5 linked regions of the Xenopus tropicalis genome follow. The protein of the gene in region 5 interacts with the protein of the main gene of each other region in a biochemical or structural test. Links are inferred from orthologs where the notes say so. Each region holds a gene or a part of one and is shown on either strand. Other genes may lie near its edges.

Region 1 (4,202 bases), on a different chromosome or scaffold from region 5:
CCACACATGGACTGAAAATCATACAAAATGTAGTACTGGTTTGGCCAGCTTAAGTCTTAGTGAGATCTTAAGCAATAAGGAGGCAATGTAATCAAAATGGCAACTAGATCTAGTAACCCATAGCAACCAATCTGCAGGTAGTGCTTACTAAATTAGGATCTTGAATACAATAGGCCTCGAGACTGGTTACTGTTACAGGTTAGTCTTTATTTTTTTTTTTTTTTATACAAATAACCTTCACACAACATGCACCATAAAACAACTATAAAACTTTGCCAGCTCGGTTAAAAAAAAAGGTAATTCCCCTCTAAACACCCTTAACCGAACACAGATCTAAAAGGTGCCCATACACGTGAAGATTCGCTCGCTTGGCGAGGTCGCCAAGTGAGCAGATCTTCAACCAATATCCACACCTACAGGTGGCAATATCAGGGAACATGTAGGCCAATTCAATCGTTTAGCTCTGGGGCCAAACAATCTAATTATAATGGCGGCAATGGGGCAGTCAGTTCGGGGACCGCATCTTTTAACTGGCCCGATCGATATATGGCCAATTTGGGGCAGATATCGGTCGGGTATGGCCGTCACTTCTGCCCCTACAGGAGCCGATAAGCTGTCATATCGGTCCAAGGGACCAATATCAGCAGCTACAATCGGCCCATGTATGGGAACCTTTAGTGTGGGAATGGACCCAAGCGGAATTATACAGGGATTTTTTTGGCCGCTGTAATCTGCTCTACTGCAAGCAACAAAACTTCACTAGGTTTTCCCACCATTAATTCATATTACTGCCGCTGGGAAGGAAATTTGGGATATTTTGTCAGCTGGAGCAGCGCAGATTTAGCAAAGGGGAACAAAATGTTTGTGACATTGCCCTGAAGGAAAGCAGCCTGTATTTATATTCAGTTAAACAAATGGACATTAAACAAGATAGTGATTGGTTTCATTTTATCATCTTGTTGTTGGTTCTACAGTCACTCTCAGCACCTGTTTAACTATGGGTGCCTTGTAATATCCATTTTGTGAGTAAAGGTGGCCATACACAGGCAGATTTAAGCAGTCAATTCAAGCTCTTTGGACTCTTCAGAAAGAGCATTTAGTTAATTGTTAAAGACTCTGCCCATGACTTTAATTTTGCTCTTAAATATTTTAGTTCAGTTTGGCCAGGGGGGTGGAAGCCTAAATTTCATCTGGCATGTGCAATTTCTATAGTTTTAGATTCTACCATCTACAATAATATAGGGCAGGTAATGGATCACCAACTTACATCCCGTGAGAGGAAAATTGAGGAAATTGAGCAGCAGAAAATGGAAACATAAGAAATCACGACAGCTTGGATAACTGAATTGCCGTTTGTTTTGGCCAGCAGTGTTCCATTGTCCTATTCTGTGACAAGCTCTATCAAATGATGTATATGGTATGCTCCAGTGTTTAGGAGATAAGGAATCATTAACAGACAGTCCTTGGAAAAGGGCAAATGAATATGCCTGTAGGACAAGCATTTTATTACTGGTCTGTGCCTGTACTCTCCTTTATCGGGTTTAATAAATGCCTTGGCTGATTTCAACCCCCCTGGTTGCCTTACAGCAGCACCAGGAGTGGGATAAAGTTAAATGGCTATGAAGTCAGGCAATACACGCACCGATAATATACGATATTTGGTGCGTGTATGGCAACTCGGCAAGGCGACAGATATCGCAGAAGGTTGCGGATATCGGTCGACACTCCAGTCGGGAGCCATTGAAGGCGTCTGAGCAAAATCTGCCTTCAGGGCTGAATCGACAGAAGGAGGTAGAAATCCTGTTGTTTGTACCTCCATATCTGCCGTTTCAGCCCTGAATGTCAGCGGAGGGTTGGAACGATCTTTTGTGCGACCACCATGTGGCCAGCTTTAGTGCTTAATCTATGCCAGCTGCTGTGTGATGGGAGTCACATTGGGGTCCGGACAGCTGGAGAGTGGGATCTGCTGCTGGGCTGCTGTGTCTGCCTGGCTGCTCCAGCTGAGAGACAACAGGGAGGAAGGGAGGGGGAGCCACCGCTGTATTGTAATCCTGGGCTCTGTAACCGGCAGCAGTGCGAGAGTGGGCTCTGGGACAGGCTTAACCAGCACTGACTGGCCCTGCCTCCACTCATTCATAAGCCTCAGATACCTGGGATGCCGTAGGTTCTAGAACTGAGCACTCTTTGCCCTTTTGGTCCCATATAGATTGTAAGCTCTACGGGGCAGGGACCTCGTTCATCTTGTTTCTGACTCTTATTGCAACTGTACCTTGTATTTATTTGTATTTATTGTTATACTTTGTATTTATCCATTATCTTTAACCCCCTGTTTGTATTAATGTATTCTACTGTACAGTGCTGCGTACATAAGTAGCGCTTTATAAATAAAGACATACATACATACATACATACATTTCGCCCCAACCAACAAAACAGACTCTAAAGAAATTATAGAGCATCTCCCCTAATGGACCATACCAGAACGAACAGTCTTACCAGTATCAACACTAAAGATGAACTACATCTCTCATCTTATAGACTCAGGCTCTGCACAGCGTTGGAATAATAAAATGGTCACAAAAAAACGTCACTGTGCGCTTGCCTTACTAGAGCCGGATTAAAGGCACACATAGGAGATGCCGATACCTATGTCCAAAACTCGCTGTAATCAATATGAACACAAGAAATAACAATACCTTTCTCCACGTAGGGTCTGTTCTCTTTTGACAAATAAAGCGACAGCGTGAGCTGGTTTGTGGTTGCACGTTAAGAGACTGTGGGCTCATGTTAAACATCGTCTGCGTCTTCAGCAAAACGACTGAGGATATGTGCGAAGAAGCCGCGTTATATAGCTCGCTGCCTTAGCCAATCAGATCGTCGATCCCAATCTAGCGTACACGACCCTTATCCTATTGCTTCCTCATTCGCCTCTAGCCAGACGTTCCGGGGAGGACTTCTATTGCCAGCCCCCAGGTGCCTTCTACAGCCAATTAGAAGGCTAGCTGAAAAAGCATAACGAGGTATGAAACGCAGAGGCCCGTCAACCGGAAGCCTAAAGGCGGAGACACTTGGGTATGCTGTTGTGCAGTCAGAGGGTGTGTTGCGGAAGTGTTTTGTTGGAAATCACGAGACGAGAGTGAGTCATAGTGGGTGATGCAAGAGCTGGCAAGCTGGGGCCAAGCCTTCCCCCAACCCGAGGGACTTTCCAAGCTTGCTTTTCACCTTCAGGTTGTACGACCTTGTCCGCAACCTGGTTTTATCATAAGAAAGCAACATAAATAGCGAGAACTAAACCTAAAGAAGTAATACAGAGAGATATAAAACCTGCGTTGCTAGAAACAACTAGCGACTAATCCTAACGCCAAAATTGTATAAGGTGCCGGGTTTTTTATCGTTCCAATTATTTAAAGCAATTTCACTTTAGAAATGTAGCTGGCTAGTATACCAACTAAAACACACAGGGGCATATTTATTATAGTGTATAAGCCAGCATGACTTGAGGCGATAGCAACCAATGAGATATTTGCTTTTGTTTCTAACTTGTGATTATTAAAATCTAATTGCTTATTGGTTGCCATGGGCAACATTACCTGTCATGTTGGCTTACACACTGAAATAAATATGCTTCTTAATACCACCTTATAATGTATCTAATTATACAGTTCATTACTCAAAAATAATTTTATTCCAGTTTGCCATGTACATAATGAATACATCTTTATTTAAAAAAAAAAAATCCATGAAAAGTCTATATTAAAAAACCTGTACAAAATATGTATGAAAAAAATCATGAAAAACAATGGAATCCTTAGGTGTAATAGAAGTTAATGTGGTCAAATGAAGTCACTTGATAGTGTCAATGTAGATGGACAGCGGATGTTAGCTGAACAGCATCAATTTAAAATAGCAAAAATACTAAGGTGAAAATATTGAAGCAGTAACAGGTGGGATGGTGGTTTTCCTGATGGAAAAACGAGTTATTTAAGCATTGACTGTTTTAATTACTGAGGCTAGTGCTAGGCATTGGGTATAGATGTATAACTCTTTAATGTACCACCACTCTTTAAATTTGCTGCTTCTCTGCTGTATCTAAAATTGTTGTGCATTGCACCATTATCATCATTCATTTATTTAACCAAATTTGAGGTTATTAAACTGGAAAGGCGCCTCTTCTAGTGAGAAAGTGCTATTGGGCAAATGGG
Region 2 (4,300 bases), on a different chromosome or scaffold from region 5:
TGTATCGGTTATTGATTGCTTTATATGTTACTCTGTATGTCTCCTTGTAGACTGTAAGCTCTTTTGGGCAGGGCTCCCTTCCCCTCTTGTATCGGTTATTGATTGCTTTATATGTTACTCTGTATGTCTCCTTGTAGATTGTAAGCTCTTTTGGGCAGGGCTCTCTTCCCCTCTTGTATCGGTTATTGGTTGCTTTATATGTTACTCTGTATGTCTCCTTGTAGAGTGTAAGCTCTTTTGGGCAGGGCTCCCTTCCCCTCTTGTATCGGTTATTGATTGCTTTATATGTTACTCTGTATGTCCAATGTATGAAACCCACTTATTGTACAGCGCTGCGGGATATGTTGGCGCATTATAAATAAATGTTATTAATAATAATAATAATAATAACAACAACAACACAAAATAAGGCCCTAACCGCCTTTACAACCAATTGTAATCACCCCAAGTGGATCTGAGCTTCCGTCTCCCAACAGTCACCCCCAAGGGAAATGACGCACCCAAAAATACCTTGCCATCGCTCTGACCAAACAGAAGAGTGACTAAAGATAAGAATGCTAAGCAAGGAATAGGAAATAACACTTTAAGATATGTAAAGTGGATTGGTGGCACATATTTGAAGATACACATAAAACAGAAATACTGAAACCTTTTTGGGATGTAAAAGAAATAAAAGATTATAATTATCGTTTATACAATTTAAAAAAAAATAAAATAAAGATTCCAGGTAATACAGCTTTAAACGTCACTTGGCCACAAAGCCAGGTCTGCCTGCTGTGCCCGAGTTTATGTAGACAGACTTGATTTAAACCTCTGTAAAGGAATCTCCAGCCTAGAGCTTCTGTGACAGCCAATTACACAGCAACCGGCTAAGCAGTTAGCTACCAGACTCCCAGAAACGCAGGAGAGAGGCTCTTACAATGAGTTACAGAACCCCAATCACAGGAAGACAAGGAGCAAGCGGAATAACAGAAAGGATCCAACCACCCAGTAAATCCAAAGCAGACCTTGCTCCACCGACACAACCCAAAGGAGGAGAATTATTATAAATCATCGCTGTTGTTGGGGAATATTAGGCATCTGGCTGTGCCAGTTTCACTCACTTTTCCTAGATATAATAATAAACGCAGAATAAAAGTCAAGGAAACAAAAAAAAAAAAATATCTGACATGAAGTTTGAAGGCTGAAGAGAGTATTGTACAATTTCACTTCTGCACTCCATATGCTTTCACCGTACAGGAGTCTTAAGCGTTTGCTGTATTTGTACTCTCTCCAAATCCTCATGAGTCAGAAAAATTAAAAAGCTATATCCCTTCTGGATGCCAGGAAAGGCCTTACCACGATCCTTTTGTCAAAATATGAAGAAGAAAAAAAAAAAGAGAAAGCCACACTGAAAGTCTGTCCCCCTTTGAGAGCTCTGATGTCATCAACCACATGATACTGCCTCTCCAGTAACGTTGCTTCCAAAAAAAAATAGGAGTTTTAAAGCTTTTGCTTTTTTGGATTGTGTGAATGCTTCATTCGCCTCACAAACAACCACAGAACCACAAGTGCGGTGCACGACTTTCTCCAGGAGGACAGCGCGGAGCCTTTGGTTTTTAAATGGTTAATCTCCGCAGGTCGCTACCAGCCGTCGAGACCGTCGCTGTCGGTAAGTGCCTCTTAAACCACAATAGGTGCCGTAATAATAGTCTCTTTTTTGGGCTGTGAAATACATATATGTGCTAGGATGGAATAGCTAACTCGAAATAGGGGGGGTATAGACGACTATGCTATAGGAGTAGGTATCATCTGTCAAGTGGAACTATCCATGGTGACCACAATCTCTATTTTCAGTCTGAGGAATATTTATTGCCGGGACATACAAAAAAAAAAAAAAGCGGACGGGCGCCACTCGGCAGAGGAAGAAGGACGATGGCGTCCAACAGTCTGTTCAGCTCGGTGACACCATGTCAGCAAAACTTCTTTTGGGGTGAGTACCTTGAAATTTGGATATGGGGATCATTCGGAGTCAGATTGGTTTGCTCTCATATAGACCGAAGCAGCGTTAACTGGCAAAATGGCGGGCCGCGAGTGACTGGTGCTGAGCCGGAGAGGCGAGCCACAAATTGGTCCATCGCCGAAAGGCTATCATTAGGCGAAAGAGGAAACCCTAGAGAGTTCAACACATAACCTCCACCTACCTAACTCAAATGGGGGGGGGGGGACATAGTTCACCCCATTGATGCACCAAAAAGAAAAAAAAAACCTAGACTGCAACATCAAGTCAGGTGTATCACCTGGAAAGGTATTTAAATACACAGAGGGCAGGGCTAGGTACAGAGCGCAGTCTGTTCAAAGTCACCTAATCATTTCAGTGAGCAGCTCACTTGAACTCCCTTCCTACTTCCCGGCACCCCACTGTTTAAAGGAAATTAGGAAAAATAGGATTTAACCGCAGCGGAGTATTGGATGCTCTGTGTGCTGCAACTTGGCAGGACATTTAGGGAACAGAAGGGAAAACGCAGGAGTGAGCAGTTATATGTGCTGCCTATACATATGTATATAGATTCCATTTATTTCCAACTACAACGTGGGGGGCTGATAGACTCCAACCTGTGGGTTTGATAGCGGAGACACAACTTTTTTTAAAAAAGGGCATCCAGTCTCATAGCTGCACCGTAAACACAGATGTCCGCACAACAAGACAGTGTAAATAAAGGGAAATAGACACACAGCAAGTCATACACAGATTCACCTATCAACCCATGCTACACAAGCCGAGGCGTTGAAGGGGTTAACTCAATCCCTCAAACACTGCGCCCCCGACCCAAAGCACACAATCTCATCGTTCCCGCTATGGGGCATGGCAAAATAAATCTGTCAAAAGCGATGCTAGAATGAACACCGTGCGTCTGACGTACTCGGCAAAAAGTGTTAGCCCGGGTGAAACGCACAAGGTGAGCGGAGCGCGCTTCACGCTGAGGCTAAGGCATCATTTTTTTTTCTGCCTTGGTCTTTGCTTTTAGAAACATCAAGGGAAAAAAAAAAGTTTTTATACCCCCCCCCCCCTCTTTTTTGAGGCATAATTGAGACAGATCTGTATTCATTCTAGCTGAATCATCCTTTGACACAGAGCGGCGGCGGCACTGCTATGTGCTTCTGAACACTTACAACATTTTCTGAATCCAGTCCATGATGAGAGGCTTGTGTTGGTACTGGAAGGGAATAGGTTCTCCTCTTTGGCTGCTCAGGGAAAGATGCTAACCGAGCTCTTTACAACAGTGAGGGGCTTGCCGTTCCCATACCTGGTGGTAGGAAGCTCATTCATAGCCCTCCCCTGCTTCTGCTTTGCAATTGGCTGCCTCCAATGGCATTTGAATAGTGAAGGGAGAAGCGTGGCTTGTATAAAAAAAAAAAAGAAAAACCACAACATTACATAGGCCTGCAAAATCTGAGGTCTCACAATCGGTGTTAATTATACCATGGAGAGTCGGAATGAAGGGTTTCTGGTCCAGGTGGGAATTTAGCGAGATTTACCAATGCCCCGTGTAGTGTGAGACGTTGTGCCTCCTGTCTACAGACTCCATATACCTATATATATATATATATATATATATATATTACATATCTATCTATTCACACACCTTTTTCGATATTGGGACTGGCCGTTTGACTACAAACGAGCTTCGCTAATGAATCGGTGCATAGAGGGTAGCCAGACCACATTATCCCTGTGTTTACAAGAGGAAACACAGTTTACATGTATGGGGAGTTTTGCTTTCTTTGCTTCCACTTCCAAAAGAGATTAGGAGAAATTCTGGCTGTAGTCATCATCATTTGCAGGGCTGATGGCTGAATTTGCCCCCGTGGAGAAAGGTTCTGTGTGGGCCGAGACATTGATCTTTAAAGCAGTGAAGTGCCTTCCACTCTTGGGCAATTTCCTTGTCATTTGAGGCCCATGGCATCTGGAGGTCCAGGGGGCCTTGGTCAATTAGATTGTTATCGGTCTGGGACAGGGGTGCCCAATGAACAACAGCGCAGATTTAGTTGCACGTCACACAAGTGGAGGAGGATAAAAACCATAGAACCTGACTAGTTGGTCTATATAGTCTACTCAATGCTAAATACTATTCCAATGCTCTCTCTTAATCCTGTGCATGTTTTTATTTCTTCACTGTATTCTTTCCATTCTGCTGGAAGGCAACTGCACATATAACTTAACTTTCACATTTTTTTTACCCCTCACGCTTTATACTGTGTATTAGAAATGTAGTTACCTTCCTCTATAGGAAAAGGTTTCCCTCCAGAACTCACATTC
Region 3 (4,084 bases), on a different chromosome or scaffold from region 5:
TGGGAGACCCAGGCTGGAGTTTGTGTAATAGATGCTGCCAAGCACTTTCTAACACAACCCAAAGTAAATTTTAAAGGAATACTGATTTTTATGGTATAGTTTTAGATCTAAATTACACTGTTTACATAGCAAATAAAATTGTATTCTTGAACCAACAAATGTATTTTTTGGTTGTAATATTGGTGTGTAGGCGCCATCTCAGTGCATTGTACCCGAGTCTGAGCTTTCAGCCAGCGCTACACATTAGAACTGCTTTCAGCTAACCTATTGTTTCTCCTACTCCCATGTAACTGGAGGAGTCCCAAGCCGGACTTGGATTTCTTACTATTGAGTGCTATTCTGATACCTACTGGGAGCTGCTATCTTGCTCCCTTCCCACTGTTCTGCTGGCTGCTGGGAGTGAGGGGGGATATCACTCCAACTTGCAGCGCAGCAGTAAAGTGTGCCTGAGTCTGAGCTTTCACAAGGAGCCAGCGCTACACATTAGGACTGCTTTCAGGTAACCTATTGTTTCTCCTACTCCCATGTAACTGGGGGAATCCCAAGCCGCACTTGGATTTCTTACTATTGCGTACTATTCTGATATATACTGGGAGCTGCTATCTTGATGCTTTCACATTGTTCTGCTAATTAGCTGCTGGGAGGGGGGTGATATCACTTCAACTTGCAGTAGCGGCTGCATTTCCCTCGGCTTATACTCGAGTCAATAAATTTTTCCAGTTTTCTTAGGTAAAATTAGGTACCTCGGCTTATATTCGGATCGGCTTATACTCGAGTATATACAGTATCTTTTTGAGCACTCTCCTTTTCATATCCAAGTCTCTCATTCAAACCACTGCCTGGTTATTAGGGCAAATTGGATTCTACCAACCAGATAGCTGCTGAAATTCCAAATTAAAGTAGTGATGGAAAAAACTGAAGACCAATTTCAGATTGCCTCAGTATATTCCTGTCTACATGAAAGAGTTTAACAGTGAACTAACCCTATATAAAGTAGACCAGTATGCTGTCAAATATGTACTGAAAAGACCTTTCTAAAAATGTTTAAATTATGTGGGATGTTACAAAACCAGATTCTCAAAGTCAGATGGGTTCTTGTTTTCATGTATCTGCATATGTCAGTGTATTTCAATGAGAAAAAGTCTGTCCGACTACTTGTCAGATAAAAGCTCAGCATTTCCACTTTTATACCAGCTGCACCACTGACAGACCCGCACAACTACATAAGACTTATAAGATGTGATTGTTTGCAATCACCATATCCAACAAAATCTCTCTATGTAGTTCAGCCCTAATAGTCACAGCAATACGTGCATACAAACACAGCAATCCATGTTATAATCACTTTGAAAGACGCAAGTTATTATTCTTTCTTTTCTTTATATTCCTTTCCCCGACCCAGTGATACCTTATAGCAGTGGTTCACATACTATGGAACCCGGCCTTTCTGGGGGGGGCTTGAGGCAGTAGTGAGGGTGGCTCAGTTTGAAGGTCAGTTAGGGTGAGAATTGGGGTGAATTACCATTTGCTCCCCTAAATATGACTGAAAGCTTGACAGTTCCCATTCTTATCTTATATAAGATTGTTTCAGATTCAATCCCCCCCCAAACACTACTCCTGCTCATTAAAGCATTTCCCAACCAACAAGAACAACAGTAAAGGGGCACAAGGTGATTTAAGATACGATACCCCTTGTTGTGTTTTTATTTCATAGCCCAAAAACACAGAACCAAAATACACCTACCACTAGCACCATTCAAGTCAATGGCAGGCAGCATGGCCAGGAATCCAAACAAGTTAAATCTCGTTTTACTATTTCTGTTTATGGCTAGCTATACAGAAATTTCCAACACAAATCTCCCGAAATTCGGCTGAAACTGTATGCGATTTTCATTTAACTCAATCACATTTGATTATTACAGGGAAAACATGTTTCATTGTAAAACTGTATCCAATCGGTCACATGAAAATCGAGTCAAGATATCCATGCAAGCTCTTACAAAAGGAATGAAGTGGCTAATGATACAACAAACAGGATTAGAGCAAAGGTGCAGAATGCTGCACCCACTAGGAGCCCATAGGAACCTCTCAGGAATGTACTGTAGTGCAAGGATGCCATTAGGTGAAGGCCAGTCTCCATGACATTGCACCCAAGGGCTTATATTAGGATACTTGGGCAGTCATGCACCCCACACATTGTGGAACTACAACTTACACCACCCCCAGAAATCTTGGTAGGATTCTTTCTATAGGTGAGGGATTTGTTGTGTTTAAGATCTCCTGAGGTGGTGTTGTTTTGTGGTTTACAGACAGGGCCCCCATGGGGGGGGGGGGCAGTCCCAGACCCAGTGGGTTTGGGAATTAAGGGGGGTTGGCAGTGCTGCTCTTACTTGGATTATCGGACCCTTGCTGTCAGTGAGCCGCAGACTTCGGAAGAGCCACAATGGCTTTACAGGGACTTGAACCTCTGTGACAAAACAAGCAGCAGCAGCGTAAATAACATCCAGGCACCATAGCTCCCGCCCTCCCTTTCCAAGTCTGCAGCTCACTGACAGCAGGGGGGCCCGGGAATCCATGTAAGTGCATTCTGCCCAACAGTCCAGCCTTTCCTAACACAGCCCGCAGTCCCACAACGCTACTTACACCTCCCGATAAGCTGTCAAGTGCAGGCTCCCAGCAGCTTCCCAGTCCCACAGAAAAGCCCAACACCGCGTCTCCTCACGCGAGACTGGCGTCACGACTCTACGCAAGCGCAGTGACGCATTACGCAGCCGCTTGTGGGAGGGATGAGTGGGCGTAACTGAGTTGTACGCAGTCGGTGGCTGCTAGGAAGTCGTGTTAGGTCAACTCTCAATCTGGTTTTTTTCTGATCGCACTGCCTTCCTTTGTTAACGAACGAATAAAAAAATACTTAAATAAAAACACTTTTTTTTTCTTGTTGGTTGACTGATATTCCCTTCACCACTTCAGCTCCTAATATAAAAAGTCATTTCTATTCCCGGATCAAAGTTCAGACTTGTGCCAGCAAACATAAAATTACGTTTCCTGGTTGCAGCAGTACCTGACACCCTTAGAGCCTCATATCGCAGTCTGACTAAAAGGGAAAGGGGTTTTGTTCAAACCAGGGTCAAGTGAAATTGCCATCATTTTAGTGTTTTTTTGTTTATTGAAGATTCTGTCACAGTATTAATTTCACACACAGATTTGTGTTATGGTGACATAAACACTGTAAAAGGTCACTTGTTTAAGTCTGAATGGACATGGAGTGACTCCTTAATGTTTAGTAAAGAGACAGTGGCAACATTTTTTTGATAAAGACAGGGATAAAAATGACAAATATCAGGATGCTTGCATAGTTCACACAGCAAGGGAATATATATGGTATATATGTATATGATTTAAAGGTAAGAGCAATATGCATTTGGAACACAGTGAGACAACTGGTGCACTGATTTAAGGCTGTGAGAGGCAAGCAGCTCTGGTCCACAGCTCTATGTGCAGGAGGAAGATGCTGCTGCCTTGGTAACCAGACCAGCCCAGGAAAGGCTCAGGATTGGTTAGGTGGCTTCCCTTGCTGGTCATTAAGCACCAGCAAGAACCCAGTTTCCCATACTTATTCAGTCTGCCCTAATTCAGCACCATGTTACAGGGGAAAGACAGGCAGAGTGGTCACTGACATTGGTATTTTGCCTGTCTTCCACACTCAGTCCCACAGTGGCAACCAGGGCCATGGGGCTCTCAGAGCTTCAAGCTTCCAGTGTTTACAAACATACCACCTAGAAGGGCTGAACCCTGCTCAGGGCTAAGTAGGTGTAGGTATAGGTGCTTTCTGTTGCGTTCAGGCGAAGCTTGTCCTGGAATGCTTTTCTGTCAATCAAATCTTAAAGTTTATGTTGTACTGACAGCATGATCCACCTTAGTTGGCAAAATGTTATCTGTTGTTCAGTAACAGTAGTTAGTCAGGGCTGCAGAAATTTTATGGCAGAGCTCTATGTGAAACCCAAACACTTTGAACTAGAAGTCAAAGGACATGTGAATGGAGGACTCTGTAAAACGTGTTCCTATATAGGCTGCTGACCATTAC
Region 4 (4,270 bases), on a different chromosome or scaffold from region 5:
TATATAAAACATGATAAATAGGGAATATTTATTAAACCTGGGACAGTGAAGTTGCCCTTTATTATCTGAAAGTATAAGCAAAATTCAGACAGAAATCAGTATAATGGCTGCCGATTAGAATGGCTTTCACCCTACACTGGAGGCTTTGGACCATAGTGCTAGAATATATATATATATATATATATATATATATATAAAACCCCTATATTTAGCTGTTATTATGTGTATGAGAGTTTCACGCCATCGGGCCAGTGAGTTTTGGAGAGAGCTCCCTGTATCTGTCAATAAAGGAGACAGCAGCTCTATAAATTCGCAGTCCCCTTTGAAAGAGTGAGCCCAGACACATTTCAGGACAGTGAGTCAGATCTAACGAGTGAATTATTTTACAGGAATATATTCCTTACTGGAAACGTTCAAAGGTGCAGACTGAGCCTCGGGTGCAGTTTAGGTTTTTGGGAGACGAGTTACACACAAAAAAAAAAACATGTTTTGTATTATCTCTAGCAACATTTCCAAATAGAGCCGGTGAGCTACATCTTATTCATACATGCGTCTGCCCCTTGCTAGAGGGATAGGACAGGAAGTGCATGTTTACATGCGTGCACAATACATCTACATTTATATTATTACACTTATTGTACAGCGCTGCAGAATATGTTGGCGCTTTATAAATAAGTGTTAATAATAATAATTACACTTCTGGGGATTATAGAGTAAAAGCCCTGGATTCTGTACCTTGGTTTGATCGCTGTAATGTATTGAGACATTTAGGGGAACTATTTCAAATAATTTTCCCTGTTTTGGGGGTAACATTCCCCCTGATATTACTATTAAAGGAAGGACTGTTACCCCCAAAATAGGATTGTTGGCCACTTTTCTCTATGGAAGCCCATGGAAGTACTTTTTAGGGCTACTAAGTGTGTTGGCTTCTGAGAGTTGAAGTTCAGCAACATCTGAAAGGCCACATTTTGCCTATATTTTGCCTCTCTCAACCAATGGATACATGGAGTGTTAATGAATGCTAATATATGGCTGTACTAAGCATTTCAACCATGTTTTTATCTGTGGGCACTAAACGTGCCATTGTTCGCCAGATGCCAGCCTGTCTGACACGCAAGCCGCTTGCCTCGGCTCTAGGAAGCCACAGGACTACAACTCCCAGCAATCTTGCTGGGGCTGTTGTCAGTGAACAAATCTGCTCTGTAGTACGTACTACTACTACTAAGGGCAGGAATATTTCTATAAGTTGGGTTTCATGGCACATTGCTCATTATGGGGACCCACTTGCTTCTATTGAATTCCATGAATAAGAACCACCTCTGCCTGTTGGGGATGCTGGGGAACCTTTGTATAATAACTGCTAGTACCTGAGAGCAGCATACCTGCTTAATGGCTGTGCCACAGGCACCCAGTATCACTGGCGCTGGGAATTCTTGGCTGGCGCTATGGCACAACAGCTCAATTATAGTGAGAATAATAATAATGCCATTAAAACTACAACTATTATAATTTAATGATACAGTGCCACACGTACTCTGCGCCCAACCCACGCTTCCTAGAGCTCCTCTTGCCTCCCTGCTAGTAGATTGCAAGCTCTTAGGAACAAGGAGAGTGATAATAAAGTCACAGTGCCAGGGTCTTACCTTGAAAGCGATGGGCAAGGTCTTGTTGCACCTCCAGTGTGTGGGCAGCACCGAGCAGAGAAAGTTTGGGCTGTCTGTGCGGACCAGCTCCCCGGGATGATCGGACAGTACTTCTACCATATTCCGGTCTGTGCTTCTCAGCTTGCCCACCAGGGCGGCGCTGCTGTCCGTGACATTTAGCGGGATGGGTTCGCTCATCTTCCCCGGACTCAGAGTGGTGGAGGGCGGCGTGAAGCGGCGGCTGGTGCTGGTATCTACGGGGATACGCATCACAACAAGCCTGGTGAGTAAATACCTTCTAAATGGAGAGTCGCAACAGCGCTGGCAGCCAGTAATCGCTCCCTGGGGGCAGCGATCGCTCCTAGGAGTCAGTGGGCACACTCAGGAGTCAATGGCACAGGAGACAGCGATCAGGCTAAAGAGACAGCGATCATACTCAGGAGTCAGTGGTCACTAACATAATTCAATATATGCCAAGTGAAGTTCTCCAAAGTTTCAGCGATTTGGCCCAAGCCTTCTGGGAGCAAAGGGGTAGTCTAGCCAATACCGGGCAGCCCAGCAACTAATATCCTAAGTCCGAGTGTATTTATGGGGGATTCTGGGCTGAAGGGAACTTTGCCCCAACTCCTTTGCAGTAAAGGGGGCAGATAGTAGATGCTGGGGTGGATTTTAGCTCCAATAATCAGACATTGGTTCCTCCAGTGCCCTAGGAATAGTGAGAATTAGTGGGTGCAGGACTGGGTGCCAGGCAGCTGAGGGCCCCTCTCCTTGGCATGTCACATGGGCCGGTTAGCCGCACTCTCTTCCTGTGGCTTTGTATTGTGGGCACACACAGCAGCGGCAGTCGCATCAGGCAGGGTGACTCACATAGGTAGGTATGTGCTCAGATTAACCCTTTGTGCCCCTACAGGAGCTTCTTGCCCTCCCAGGGACAGATTAGAGCTGCTGCAGGCTGCCGGGTCCCACGCATGGTGCTCAGAGAGTTGCTCAGAGTCACGGAGAGTGGGAAGTGCGAGTTGTGACTCCTGACTCGGCTAGTAAGGGTAATGTATCCCCGCTGGTGAGTTGCTGTGGGGATGGGAAGCGGCGTGTGAGCGCTCTCTCCTTCCCTCTCGGGCTGTGGGAATGAGCTTCTGCCTCAAATCTATTGCCTTTTACTGTAACAGTGCGGAGGAATGGCATCCCCTGCTCATCTGCATATGGGGAAGCGGCCGGCCAATCAGGCGGCTCCGTGGGACTGAGGCAGGGCGCGGCCCGGGTCATGGGAGCTGCCGGCTAATAGGTCGCCTCAAGCTACCGGCCTGGGGAGTGGGACTCGGGGGGGCGCTGTGTGTGTATGGGAGCTGCCGGCTAATAGGTCGCCTCAAGCTACCGGCCTGGGGAGTGGGACTGGGGGGGCGCTGTGTGTATGGGAGCTGCCTGTCACTCTCCCATGGCAGGTGAACTACAGTCCGTACCGTGGGGAGGCTCAGTGCCGGTCCGCTTTTCCCTAACCCCAAATCAGCAGGAGTCTGAGGGGGGGATACTATGTGCTACTAATGTCCTGCCCGGCCACCGTATCCCCACAGCCACAGGTGATGGGACTGAGGGAAAAGCAGCAGCAGCCTATAATGGGTTTATCATTTGGCCAAGGGACAGGGCAGTGCTGGCACCATTATACCCCCATGCACATCCTCTCTATTGCCCCACAGGGCCCCCTGTAGTGCGCCTCTATTACCCCAGACTGTGGTCTGGGTATTATGCTCCACTCCGGGGTATTGGGGTATATAGTGCCCGTCCATCACCCCAGCCTCTAACCCCATGGTTTGGGTATTATGCTCCACTCCGGGGTATTGGGGTATATAGTGCCCGTCCATCACCCCAGCCTCTATCCCCATGGTTTGGGTATTATGCTCCACTCCGGGGTATTGGGGTATATAGTGCCCGTCCATCACCCCAGCCTCTATCCCCATGGTTTGGGTATTATGCTCCACTCCGGGGTATTGGGGTATATAGTGCCTGTCCATCACCCCAGCCTCTATCCCTATAGTTTGGGTATTATGCTCCACTCTGGGGTATTGGGGTATATAGTGTCTGTCTGTCACCCCAGCCTCTATCCCTATAGTTTGGGTATTATGCTCCACTCTGGGGTATTGGGGTACATTGTGCCTGTCCATCACCCCAGCCTCTATCCCTATAGTTTGGGTATTATGCTCCACTCTGGGGTATTGGGGTACATTGTGCCTGTCCATCACCCCAGCCTCTATCCCTATAGTTTGGGTATTATGCTCCACTCTGGGGTATTGGGGTACATTGTGCCTGTCCATCACCCCAGCCTCTATACAGTGCCCCTAAAGCACCTATTTATCTATGGTCCCCAATAGATTGTGTATCTTGCCCCGCAATAGGGGCCACAGTTTATACAGGGGACTATGGGAGCAGTTGTAATGCAAACAGGTTCCCTATGTTACATTCGTCCCCCAGGCACAGAATTGCAAAGTGATAGAAGGGCAGGTCAGTTTGAGGGCAGGACACAGAGCCACCTAGGGTGCCAGGCCATTAGTGTGACCAGCTGGCCACTTACCCCTGGGTGGGGCATCATTCTGTCTCAGTGTATCACATGGTATAACTGAATCACTAAAAGTAAA
Region 5 (4,008 bases):
ATCATAATAAATAAAACAAAAACCATCTACAGGAAATCAACGTTTTCATGGAAAACTTGGAAAGACAGTATTACAATCAACGGAAGAAACAGCACGTTCACCATGTGTCCGGCCCTTAAAAGGATATCTATATATGATCTATATATCTGACTTACAAATGAATATCATGGCTGGTACAAGGATATTTAGAGCTAACTCCTCTAAACACCTTGTACTCAGCCAGCACCATAACATTCCTGTGAGCTAGCTTAGACTACATTTCCAAGCTAACAGCACAAGGCTTTTATCAATATCACAATTACCTAAACAGGTTAACGTAGGTCATTGCCACTAGCAGTTAATGTATGGGATACATCATGCTACATATTAACAGAATTCACAACAAGTCCATGCCAGTGCTACAGATCAGTAAGAGGTATCAGGCTCCAGTGGCAGTTGGAAGTAGGAGTCAACTACACAACCATATAAGTTAACAGGGATCTAGTGCTAGTTTGTGATGACTGGGAAGTAGGAGACTCTTGGCCTAGTACAGTGCTCACTGTGATATTTACACTTTTCAAAACATTACCTATATCTGAGCCTAGGTCACATGCTAGTACCATATTTTTTGGATTGACATGCACAGTGAACACTTATGGCAGCAAAGAAGAAGTTCCAAAAGCATGACAGTAAAAGCCACATATGGTGCCTTATTGCATTTTGGAGTCAAAGGAAGGAGGCACCAAAATAAACCAGTTTAACAAGTACAAGTAAAAGTCCCCAGCAGCATCTCACAATGGTTGTGTGAATGTCCCTCAGCATTACAGAGCCAAAAGGGTGGGAGAGTTTAGAGAGTCTGATGACTGCTCATTGCTGCTGCTTCCCCTCCGATGTGCGGCTCCACAGTTGGGGAAGTGGTCAGATTCTGGGTATGTGAAGACAAATGATGTTGTATAGGTAGTGCATGTTGGAGTGCAGGTAACAACTGGTGTGCACAGAGGCTCCATGTCTGCAGATAAAGTGCTATACAGTGGCTCCCATTCTGATGTGTAAAGAGAGCTAGTAAGATCTACATCTGGCACAGAACGTGCTGCATCAGTTACACCTGTGTGAGAAGAGTTAAACAGAAAATCATCCAGTGGTTCAGATTTGAGTTCCATAGAGACTTGCAGCTGGGTGTTCTCCTTTTCAGGCATGGAAGACTGAGAAAGGCCAATGGGAAACAGAGGCTCTGCTACAGGCTCCTGAGAGCTGGAAGAACAAGGGGTCTCTGAAATCAGACCCAGATCAAGAGATGAGGTCAAGTCTTGAAAAGCTCCATCAAGATCATGTGGAATTTTGCAAGCTGGTTTGTGAGCTGCAAGTATAAACTCCAGCTTTTCCTTCTCCTTTAGAAGGCCGGCAATCTCTGCCTGCAGGGCAGATTTCTGGTCCTCCAGGTCATCAGTCTCCTACAAGGGAAGAAGGTGGTATAGTAAGAACCTCAAACAATCAAATCCTCCAAGAATGGAGAGCAATATAGATCCCATTTATGTTTTCCATCCCTCTGCATATAGTCAAACTAATATATATATATATATATATATTATATATATATATAATATATAATCTTAACATTTATATAAACTACTGCCTATTTAGTAGCCTACTTACCGCTTGAAGGGTGTCTGTTAACTCCCGACGGCGGTTACGACACTTGGCAGCTGCCATCTTATTCCTTTCTCGTCTTACTTTCCTTTTTTCTTCTTCTTCTGGAGAAAGCTATAAGCAGAGAAAAGACAGACTGTCAATATAAATAAACAAGTAGCTTATAGATAAACAACATCTACCTACACCTGCATTGCAGAAACTAAAGGAAAACAAAGGTCTGACAGTTACCTGCTCCATTTTTCCTCTTCTTCCCAGGCTCTGACCTCTTCCAGCAGATCCTTTCATAACGCTAGATCGGCTGTAAGCTGGTGTGGACCCATAAGGGTGTGCCCGAGACTGTGATGGGGCTACAGAAGAAATAAGGGTTGGCTGTACAAGCCACTGAAGATCTGGTGAGGTGGAAATGGCAGTGACTGTGGGTACAAAACTGCTGCTTGAATCACCACCGAAGTCCTAAAAACACATAAGTAGAAATAGGAGACTATCAGTGAAGAGAAAATACGTATACAATCGGCAATACTGCACACAATAAGTGTTATGTGTATCTATACAAATATACACACACAACCCAGCCATTGAAATTGATAATCCCACCCGGGTTCCGCATTTCCAATCCTAGCACACGAGCCCGAGTATGACAGAAATAGCTCCGCCGTCACTAGTGACGCAGGAACAGCTCTGGAGTCTCCTGAATGAACTCTGGATTTTTATCAATGGAACCGCTTTACACATACAGTGGGGGGAGGGGCAAGAGAGTGCAAAGACCCTGTTGAAGTCAGGGCTACAACATGAACCAGGATTTGGGTGTTAGTCCCAGGAGCAGTGACTATGGATATTCGGGTGCCAAGTCTAAACCCAGTTACTTGTACCCATACAACCAGTAAAGTAAGCCACCCGCAAACACTTCATCACCCTCTTAAAATCATATATCAGATGACTTACCTGTGGAGAAACAGGTGACCCCATGCTAGAGAAGGAAGCTGCAGGGGACGGGTAGTAGGTCAGGCTGTCCCCGGCTGGAGAGGCACTACTGCAACGGGAAGAAGCTGCATCATATTCGGTGCTGCTGGAGAAGGCGTGATACATGGTGCCCTTTGAGGGTAAGAATGTAAAACCAGCTCCGGGAGTAGCAAGTGACAGAGAAAGACCGTCAGTCCTGGCTCACCAAGCTGTCAAACCACTCCGTACGATGAAGCAATTAGTCTGAAGGAACTTGCCTCCTCTCCAGCTTTTTATACCCTGTCAGAGGTTTTTTTTTTACTTTTTTTCAAAGCCTACGTCACGAGTTAGACCCTACCACTATTCAAAGGGACGAGCAACTCTAGTATCAACTCTCGGGGCTTTCGTTTTCTATTTAATTGTGCTGAATGTCAAATATTCTTCAGTTCTTGACAATGACCTAAATGAATATTCAAGGTAGCATTACCTAACAAACGCTTATTTTTTTGTCTCCCCCCTCGGATTTACCCAATGGTTTCACCGAACTCGGGAATCCAAATGACGCAGATATCCTTATAAGGAAAACATCCTGTTTGAGGGCGGTTTGAGGCGGCTAGGGGTAGGGCTGCCGGGAAGAGCCCTAGCAAGCAAAGACAGACACAAAAAGGGAGGGGTTGAGGGTGCGAATTGGGAGAAAGGTAAAACTGAAGAGTGGAAAAAGGTTACGCAGCCCTTTTGAAAACAATATCCGCGGTATCCGTGTTTAATAAAAAATACAATTTTATGTTTATGTAATACAGGTATACACTGCAATTTAACATAAAAGGCAAACGCTGTACAGTTAAATTCTGCTCTGCATGTTAATGATGTAGACTGTAGAGTATACATGTATGATGCAAGTCACTTTCGTTTATCTATAAAATGAATAGCGATACATTTGTATAATTCATATACCCTGTTCTGCCTATAATACAATTACATTTTGTCCTATGTAAAATATGAAAGTGGCTTAACTAAAGAACTGTGGGCCCCAGTAAAAATTACACTGGTTTCCTGGTTTTCACCTGGGGACCCCTTTCCAAGCTTCCCACCACACTGTGCCCCATATGCCTCCAGCTATTCTGTATAACAGAGATTAATATTGATCTTTGTTGCGCTGACCCCCTCAGCTCCAGAAACAAAAATAGCAAACTGCTCAGTGTATTATACAAATACATTGGCTCAGCACTACAGAGCAAAACATCTTGCATTATTATCATTTATATATAGTGCTTATATTTTTTTCACAAGGTTATTATCATTATCATGCTATTATAATTTCCCATATAAATGCAGTTTACAATCTAAGGTCTCTTTTATGTACACACAGAATAGCGCAAATTTTATCAGACGCCAATTCTTTGTATATGTTATTGGAGTGTGGAAGAAACTGAAGTCCAG

What was found. The genes of interacting proteins can lie anywhere in the genome.
Region 1: the proteins of fos (region 5) and ddit3 form a complex in vitro, tested with the Homo sapiens proteins (2 studies listed by BioGRID and IntAct, with this or other methods). The link is inferred for Xenopus tropicalis from reciprocal best matches to the Homo sapiens genes FOS and DDIT3.
Region 2: the proteins of fos (region 5) and runx2 form a complex in vitro, tested with the Homo sapiens proteins (2 studies listed by BioGRID). The link is inferred for Xenopus tropicalis from reciprocal best matches to the Homo sapiens genes FOS and RUNX2.
Region 3: the proteins of fos (region 5) and atf2 form a complex in vitro, tested with the Homo sapiens proteins (3 studies listed by BioGRID and IntAct, with this or other methods). The link is inferred for Xenopus tropicalis from reciprocal best matches to the Homo sapiens genes FOS and ATF2.
Region 4: the proteins of fos (region 5) and runx1 form a complex in vitro, tested with the Homo sapiens proteins (2 studies listed by BioGRID). The link is inferred for Xenopus tropicalis from reciprocal best matches to the Homo sapiens genes FOS and RUNX1.

Annotation. Positions count from the first base shown.
Region 1 is NC_030678.2:140,584,251-140,588,452, forward strand, and holds the start of ddit3 (DNA damage-inducible transcript 3 protein), read right to left. Parts: upstream 2,801-4,202; 5' UTR 2,697-2,800; intron 1-2,696. UniProt on the Homo sapiens protein: Multifunctional transcription factor in endoplasmic reticulum (ER) stress response. Plays an essential role in the response to a wide variety of cell stresses and induces cell cycle arrest and apoptosis in response to ER stress.
Region 2 is NC_030681.2:147,664,074-147,668,373, reverse strand, and holds the start of runx2 (runt-related transcription factor 2), read left to right. Parts: upstream 1-1,500; 5' UTR 1,501-1,651; intron 1,652-1,836; 5' UTR 1,837-1,914; coding exon 1,915-1,972; intron 1,973-3,153; coding exon of another isoform or gene 3,154-3,176; exon of another isoform or gene 3,177-3,239; intron 3,240-4,300. UniProt on the Homo sapiens protein: Transcription factor involved in osteoblastic differentiation and skeletal morphogenesis. Essential for the maturation of osteoblasts and both intramembranous and endochondral ossification.
Region 3 is NC_030685.2:64,415,398-64,419,481, forward strand, and holds the start of atf2 (cyclic AMP-dependent transcription factor ATF-2), read right to left. Parts: upstream 2,801-4,084; 5' UTR 2,644-2,800; intron 1-2,643. UniProt on the Homo sapiens protein: Transcriptional activator which regulates the transcription of various genes, including those involved in anti-apoptosis, cell growth, and DNA damage response.
Region 4 is NC_030678.2:13,898,239-13,902,508, reverse strand, and holds the start of runx1 (runt-related transcription factor 1), read right to left. Parts: upstream 2,801-4,270; 5' UTR 1,914-2,800; coding exon 1,644-1,913; intron 1-1,643.
Region 5 is NC_030684.2:82,309,800-82,313,807, forward strand, and holds the start of fos (proto-oncogene c-Fos), read right to left. Parts: upstream 2,801-4,008; 5' UTR 2,716-2,800; coding exon 2,572-2,715; intron 2,083-2,571; coding exon 1,858-2,082; intron 1,741-1,857; coding exon 1,633-1,740; intron 1,431-1,632; coding exon 801-1,430; 3' UTR 1-800. UniProt on the Homo sapiens protein: Nuclear phosphoprotein which forms a tight but non-covalently linked complex with the JUN/AP-1 transcription factor. In the heterodimer, FOS and JUN/AP-1 basic regions each seems to interact with symmetrical DNA half sites.